Nothobranchius furzeri: one gene and its partner. The protein of the gene in region 2 purifies or fractionates together with the protein of the main gene of each other region. This does not show direct contact. Links are inferred from orthologs where the notes say so. Each region holds a gene or a part of one and is shown on either strand. Other genes may lie near its edges.

Region 1 (4,223 bases), on a different chromosome or scaffold from region 2:
CAGCTCTCACTGGAGCAGGTCACAGCTGAGTGAAGCAGCTGGGATGAGAGTTGGCTCATCTGATCCAAGAACATGGTCTTGAGTCGGAAAAGGGTGGAATGCCTTCTTCGGGTCAGGGATGAGGCCTGCCCCAAGTGGAGAAGTTTAAGTATCTCGGGATCTTGTTCACTAGTGAAGGAAGAATGGAGCACGAGATCAACCTACACCTTTTGGAAAAGTCCAATAAATCAAATCATGCAGCTAGATCAGGATTAGTGTGGCAGCTGTATTTTGTATGGTATGGAGGAAATATACAAAAAATAAACAATCTGCATTTATTTCCACATAGATGATAATGACAGAATGAGAAAGCGGAGGAGTTTAATTATCTTGGGGTCTTGTTCATGAGTGAGGGAAAAATTGAGCGTGAGATCAACTGGCGGATTGCTGTTGCGTCTGCAGTATTGCGGGCATTGTACCAATCTGCTGTGGTGAAGAGAGAGCTGGGCCGGAAGGCAAAGCTCTCGATTTACCGGTCGATCTACTTTCCAACCCTCACCTATGGTAGTGACTGAAAGAATGAGATCGCGGACACAAGCGGCTGAAAGGAGTTTTCTCCGCAGGGTGTCTGGGCTCTCTTTGAGACAGGATGAGAAGCGCAGTCATCCGGGAGGGGCTCAGAGTAGACCTGCTGCTCCTCCACATTGAGAGGAGCCAGTTGAGGTGGCTCGGGCATCTAGTTAGGATGTCTAATGGATGCTGGTGAGGTTTTCTGGGCACGTTCAACCGGGAGAAGACCTAAAGAAAGACCCAGGACACGCTGGAGGGACCATGTCTCATGGCTGGCCAGGGAACGCCTTAGGATTCCCCCAGAGGAGCTGGCCCAAGTGACTGGGAAGAGGGAAGTCTTGGCCTCCATGCTTAGGCTGCTGTCCCTGTGACCCGACCCTGGATAAGCTGGTGAAAATGGATGGATTGTCTCCTGAATCAATTTACAAACATTTATCAGTTCATGAAAAGCAATAAAATAAAATAAGCACTGCCATATTGTGCTGCAGATTGTGGAGTTAACTTTGCACCAGTTGTTTTTGACTGATATTTAATAAAATGAATGCTATTTTTAAAAGAAACGGCATGACATTTCACAAAGAAGAAATGGGATAGCTGAAAAGTAAAAAAAAAAAATACAACAAAAACCATGAAAAATGCATGTACAGCTGCAGGAGTAAATTTTTATGTTTGGGTGTGAGCAAATGATTTCATTAAATCAATACGGTTGGCATTTTTCTATATAACTTCTAATATTTTTCTGACTAATTTACATTTATGCCGTTCACTCTGCTCTGAACGCAATTTCTGTTGCAGTACCGCCTCGGGCCACTGGGAGTTCATCTCTGGGTGAACTTGCTGGACATTGTGTGGTTCTCGCGAGATTTGCATGGAAACATGGCAGCATCCAAAAGAAAACGTGGAGGACAGGGTCCCGTCAACAAGAAGGCTAAAAAGGGTAAATTTGTTGTAGACCAAAGAGAAAGTCAAGCTGAAGCTGAACCAGAGACGAAAAATGAAGTCACAGTCCCAGCACCGGTCTCAATGGTAAGTGTTGGGGTATGTTAGCTTGTTAGCCTGCAGTCTGCTAGTGAACACACGGACCTAAAGGTTCGTTTTTACTCGTTCTAAATTGTTTAACTACATAATTATTTTATACAAAAGTGAGTAAAGGTCAGTAAGGTCTACTAATGCTTCGCTAGCAGTCACATATTTGTGTTTAAAGGTGTTGAGTGTTAATTTAGAATGGACTGTTGATCCCACAATGGGGAAATTCACTTGCTACAGCTGCACAAACTCTTAATAACTCGAAGAAAAATAACAAAGGTGTATGTCTTTACGCATAGGCAGTAAGCTGTTATTGTAACCTTCGACCACTAAAAACTACAATTAAAAATGAAACTTGGGTTCCAGAACTATGCAGCATACTGTAAGGGACACAGTCATGCTATGTAAATCCACACACTGAATATTTTATGTGGAGCTAGGCTTTTCTTAAGTTACCAGTTGTATTAATCTGACATGTCATATTTTGTTTTCCTTTTGTTTTTGATTTCTTTAATTTCCACTCATTTGCTCCAGCCCATGAACACAATAGACAGTCAGACAAATAAGTTATTCAAGTGATTTTCTAATCTTTACCCTTTTGACAAAAGATGAAAAACCCATGAATTCTTCAGTTACTTTTATTGGTATTCAGATATTTAAAAAGCCTCAAGGGTGCCTAACAAGGTGTTTCACTTGGGTATTTATCCAATGCTATGATGTCATCATTACTTGTGAACAGGGCAAATGGACCAACAAGGAAAGAGTTCTAATCTTCTCCTCTAGAGGAATCAACTTCAGAACAAGACACTTGATGCAGGACCTGAGGACCATGATGCCTCATGCGAAAGCAGGTTGGTATGCAAATACGACCTTCTCAGCTCGATCTGCACTGACGACCAGAGTTAACCCTCTCCATGTTGAGCTGAACCCAAGTGACCAGACTATTTTTCTATCTAGATACAAAAATGGACCGGAAGGACAAGTTGTTTGTCATCAATGAGGTGAGTTTGCTTTAGAGTTTAGGACGTTTTGCACCATCGTATATTTTAAAGCAGTGTTTGAGATCAGTGTTGTTTTGCAGGTGTGTGAGATGAAAAACTGCAACAAGTGCCTGTTTTTTGAGGCTAAGAAAAAGCAGGACCTCTACATGTGGTGAGAGTTTGATCCACGCAGATTGTTAGCCTAGAATGCTGTCAGGTAAATGTAATGATGTTCTTTCTCTAAAGGATCTCGAACTGCCCGCACGGACCTTCAGCAAAGTTTTTGGTTCAGAACAGTAAGTTGCTTCTGTCTTATAAGTCTTGGGCACAGGTACCTGCTTTGCAAAGCATCAATAATTTATTCCATCGTCTTTACAGTTCATACACTGGCTGAACTCAAAATGACAGGAAACTGCCTGAAAGGATCCAGACCACTGCTATCGTTTGATCCTGTGAGTATCGAGCATCCTTAAGTGTTAAATGAATTTGCTCGTTTGCTGGATAAATGTTTTAGTCGACGCTCCAGAAGTATGAGTTTTATTTCTCGTGCAGAAATTTGACACGGAGCCCCACTACGCTGTACTTAAAGAGCTCTTCATTCAGGTATGTATTCATAGTGAAAATGGGGGGCTGCACATCATGCAAAATTCATAGCATTTTAAAATATACAAATCAAATCAAACTTTATTTATATAGCACTTTTCATGCATAGGATGCAACACAAAGTGCTTAACAGCTTAAAATGACCCATATAACCCACATTCCCTCCCTTTCCCACACTTAAAACAATTTTCACCCCAAATCCGCAAACCATTCCCAGGCGCGCACACACACATTAAGACACACACGCACACTCTCGTACACATAACACATTAAAAGACCACAGTAAACACTAGGCTGAGCTCAGATTGGACAGGTAATGAAAGACACGCCATCAAGGGAGCCATCTGCCTCGACAGCAGCAGATCGACGGCAGCAGCCAAGACACCAATCCAGGGCGCCCTGGGAGGGAGGGTGGCAACCCCCCACATTTACCTGGGCACTACCCAAGGAGCACCCCCAGCCACTGCCACCGGTCCCAAGGCAGAGGGCTCCACAGAGGAATCACTGGAAGGATTAAAATATGTGACGTAAAATAACAAGAATACAAGCGCAACAACAAGCTAATATGGAAAATATGTAAAATGTATGATGTAAAATATCCAATAAAATGTGATTATACAAATAAAACATAAATGTGTAACACAACAGTAATTAAAATAGGTAAAACAAGCAATGCAATAAATAGTAATCAGTTAAAAGCTAAACTAAAAAGGTGGGTCTTGAGCCTGTTCTTAACAACATGAATGTTCTCTGCAGCCCTGAGATCCTCCGGCAGCCCGTTCCAGAGGCGAGGGCTGTAAAAACTAAAACTAAACCTACCATTTAATGTAAAATTTAGCTAAATTTTGACGTTGCATTATCTGCAGCTTAAGCAAAAAATTAAGGCTGTAAAACATTGACTCGTGCATTCATTAAACTTCCTCCTTCTAGACGTTTTCTACTCCACGTTACCACCCTAGGAGTCAGCCATTTGTGGACCACGTCTTCACCTTCACCATTGTAGACAACAGGATTTGGTTTAGAAACTACCAGGTAACGTTTTACTGGGTCAAGGCTGCAGATTTA
Region 2 (4,039 bases):
GAGTGTTTAATATTTTAATTCTCTTTTATAATTAAATATATATTTTTCTCAATATATAACAATATTTGATATATATCACAATAAATAACATACAACTGTTTGTATTTTAACATCGTCCTTGTAGTTTTATAAGCTGATAATTAAACTGAAGCAAACATCTTTACTGTGAACTAAATTTACTGTGCATCTTCATTCCTTTTGCCGTCCTTTTTCATTTGATTTTTCCTACCGGGAAGTTAGAATTTACGAGGAGAAAGCGAACGCACCATTAGCTGATAACAATGGTGACAATGGAAGCTAACATATCAAGCTAACGTTATCTTAAACAGTTTATTTAGCTGCTGGAGCAGATTAAAACGATGATGCCTCACACTTAGATCGTTGTCGCTGGTTTCATCTTCACCCGTCGCATTTAGTAAAGTGAAGCCAAACTTTAGAGCGCGTTCATGTTCTTCTAGTCGGAAATTCGGAGTTCCGAGGAGAAAGCGAACACACCATTAGCGAAACGGAAGCTAACATATCAAGCTAACGTTATCTTAAACATTTTATTTAACTACTGGAGCAGATTAAGATGAGGATGTCTCACTCAGATCGTTGTCGCTGGTTTCATCATCACCCTGTTACCCATCACATTTAGTGAAGTGGACCCAAGCTTTAGCGTGCGCTCTTTCTACCATGCTGCTCTGTTTACAACTGGCTCGCAGCAACCGACGACATAACACTCTTGCGCATGCGCAGCTGTCTAGGCAAGTTCTCGTTATGAAGGACGGGTACCGAAACGAGGCACAGTTTGAAATGACGTGAATCGGTGCTCAGGTGGTACTGTGGAATTCGGTCGGTACCTTAAAAAGTACCGAATTCGGTACCCATCGCTATCGGACACCTCCCAAAGCGAAGATATTTTTCTACAATTTGGCCTGTCATCCACAAGAAAAACCAATTTATGCATCAAAAACTAAACTTTTTAAAAGCTCCAGCTGAAATGAAGATTTGCATTTTCTCGGTTTCTGTGTGGACAGAAATAACCGGAGTTTTAGGTTTCACATCACTGTGACAAAAATGCTGACTGCCCATGTGCGACCTGTGTTTACATTACAACATGGATGCCCTCAGAGCCGAGCTCGCATTATCAAACTACATTTAACTAGTAGTTGAACTAGTTATAAAACTACATTTAAGAGCCATTCTACCTCCTTATCGGTCTGCACAAACGAGATAGGCGCCATGTTTCATGTTATGTTGAAGTTGAGCAGGAAGACTGCCGCCTACAAGTCTGGCACGCCTATCAATGTGCCTAACAATGCACTTATGCGGTCACGTGTAGTGGTGGGTCCAGCAACACTACCTAGCTCATAGAACAAGACCCCGCGTTGGTGCGCTCATCATTTAGGAAGTAGACACATGACTAATTCTACAAACGAGGCGGTGTGGACGTTATTTTTTCAGAGGGCAGATATTCGTCTTTAATGGCTACGTATGGACAAGGTCAGCAGACACCTTGAGGGCCAGAAGCTCTTCTAAAATAAAGTTCAAGTATTATTGTGTCTTAAATTATTAATATTTGAAATGGTTTTGTTTTCCATCAACACTGTTTTACTGTGGTTTCAGTCGTGTTTGAATAACGTAAACAATTACTGATATTTGGGAAATAAAACTTGCTGCTAAACTTTAAAGTCTCCCAATTGTAGGAAGTTAGGGGCCAAAGAGTTGGGGGGCAAGTGGAAAAGTCTGGTGGGCTGGATGTGGCCTGGCCTGTAGACCACCAGCTGACGTTCACTGCACCTCAGCTGTAACTTACAAGAACATTTCTCTTTGGAAATCATCATCAGCGTTGAGTTCTCCGTTGGACACAGCAGAAACGTTCCCTTCAGCGTTGGTGAGAACTTCATCAGCAGGTGGGTTGGTCATGTCTAACCTTTCCACCCAGGCTAGATCTTTATGCAGCTCCGCAAGACAGAGTTTCAATCCCTCCTGAAGGAAAACAAATGTGTTAGGCAAACTGCCACGGAGAGAAAAGAAAACAAATAAATATTTAGATTGTTTACAACACATCTTTGGATTCCTACGTATTTTTAATATTTTAAGCAATACCGTTGTATGTTTTCTTATTGTTTACTCTTTAATCTTACTGTTTTACAATCCTGTCTGCTCCAGTTGTGACATTTTCCCACCCAGACAATAAAGGGAGCGAGTTTCTATTCTGTTCTTTGTCAAAATGCAGGATTTATCTATTATATACAAAGTAAAAAGTACAAGTATGTTTTTTTTTCATAATAAAAACAGCATAATGACTACTCTGACCTTAATTACTCACCACATTATTGACGAACGTCTTGCTTTTATCCACCAGGACGTTCATCCCAGGTTTGAGCAACCCTTTAGAGAGGGCTTCTTGAAGCTAAACACAAAGACCACAGAAATATTTTTAAATAACTCTTGACTTAATTATGTCATTCCCATCATCGTTGTTTCTTGTTCCCGTTTCAACCGTATATGTGTCGATGGTTTCAACACAGAGCCTGACCAGTTAGCTAAACTCAAAACAGGTGCTTTAGTGCAGCTGGCTTAAGTCAAAGTTAGCATAAAACTTACTTCTCCATCCGATAATTCGATGTGTTCCTCCTCTGACTCCTCACCCAGCTGCGGGTCCTCCTCTGCCGAATCCATACTCCTGCCAGGGATGATCATAAAATCCGAATTTGTCTTATAAGCTGCACAAAACAGCAACAACGACACGAGTTAACAAACAGTCGCTCACGTGTGGAGCGATTCACAGGAGGAGGAAGTGACGTATGGGTTTGCTCTTTCGCGAAAATTGTCCGACAGAAGACAAAGAATGAAGATAAATGAAGTTCCGACATGACAAAATTAATTGAAAATAATTTTAAAAGCAGGCGAGACACATCAACTGTTATTGTTACTTTACTAATATTTTAATACTAACATTTTATAACGGCAACTAATAATACACATTATTTTAATGATGATAAATATCATGTAATAATTTCTTAGTTATTTATTATTATTTTTTTACCAGTAGTAAACTCCAACTGACGTTAGAATTCTATATTTGTTAATTTTGATAAACTAGAACAAACTTTTCTGGCTGGAGATTGGATCTCGTTGCTCTCACTGGTGTGCCTGGTATTTATTTATTTTTTAATCTTTTATTTCATTCAAAATGTATACAATAAACACAAACAAATGCAACATACATTAACATATTGAAAAAAAATTTGAACAAAAAGGAGCAGATAGAAGAGAGTCTTATAATTTCTGCCCCTTTTTACAAAATAAAATTATCCGTCAAACAAACACAATATAACATCAGTCACTTTCTAATATTTTCATGTCTAATCTTTGACATTACAGTTCAACTTTTCATAATTGCTAAATACATTAGATTTTATACATCTTTAAATATAGCAAGTGAAGTTGATTCTTTAAATTCCCTGTTAATGGCATTCCACAATCTTACACCATTTACAGAAATGTTACATTCCTTCGCTTTGGTTCTGAATCTAGGTTTCTTAAAGACATCAGTTCCTTTTAACATGTACCCACTTACTCTCTCATGAAACATTTTCTGAAATGTGGCATTAGTTGGTAGATTACTCATATTCGCTCTGTACATTATTTGCAATATTTTCCACTCTACCAAGTCAGGAAATTTCAGTATTTTGTATCTAATGAATAATTGATTAGTGTGATCTCTATAGTTAGTTATTAATGATTCTCAATGCTCTTTTTTGCAAAATGAACAACGGTTGTGTAAAAGTTTTGCAAGTGACTCCCCAAATTTCTAAACAATAAAATAAATATGGTTCAATCAGTGAGTGATACAATGTTAATAACCCTGACCAATTTAGTAGAAACTTGACTCTATGTAATACACCCATGGCTTTGGCGATTTTCCCCTTTATATAACCTACATGTGATTTCCACGTGAGACTCTCATCAAACATGACTCCAAGAAATTTGGTTTCTTTTACTCTTTGAATTTCCATTCCATCTATCATTAAAGATACATCACAGCTTC

What was found. The genes of interacting proteins can lie anywhere in the genome.
Region 1: the proteins of ebna1bp2 (region 2) and bxdc2 purify together in Homo sapiens (affinity purification with mass spectrometry; 4 studies listed by BioGRID and IntAct, counting the BioPlex papers as one, with this or other methods). This does not show direct contact. The link is inferred for Nothobranchius furzeri from reciprocal best matches to the Homo sapiens genes EBNA1BP2 and BRIX1.

The regions. Positions count from the first base shown.
Region 1 is NC_091746.1:58,361,519-58,365,741, reverse strand, and holds the start of bxdc2 (ribosome biogenesis protein BRX1 homolog), read left to right. Parts: upstream 1-1,385; 5' UTR 1,386-1,425; coding exon 1,426-1,575; intron 1,576-2,314; coding exon 2,315-2,426; intron 2,427-2,532; coding exon 2,533-2,576; intron 2,577-2,656; coding exon 2,657-2,727; intron 2,728-2,801; coding exon 2,802-2,851; intron 2,852-2,933; coding exon 2,934-3,007; intron 3,008-3,107; coding exon 3,108-3,158; intron 3,159-4,088; coding exon 4,089-4,190; intron 4,191-4,223. UniProt on the Homo sapiens protein: Required for biogenesis of the 60S ribosomal subunit.
Region 2 is NC_091748.1:70,081,346-70,085,384, forward strand, and holds the start of ebna1bp2 (probable rRNA-processing protein EBP2), read right to left. Parts: upstream 2,890-4,039; 5' UTR 2,689-2,889; coding exon 2,593-2,688; intron 2,399-2,592; coding exon 2,315-2,398; intron 1,972-2,314; coding exon 1,799-1,971; intron 1-1,798. UniProt on the Homo sapiens protein: Required for the processing of the 27S pre-rRNA.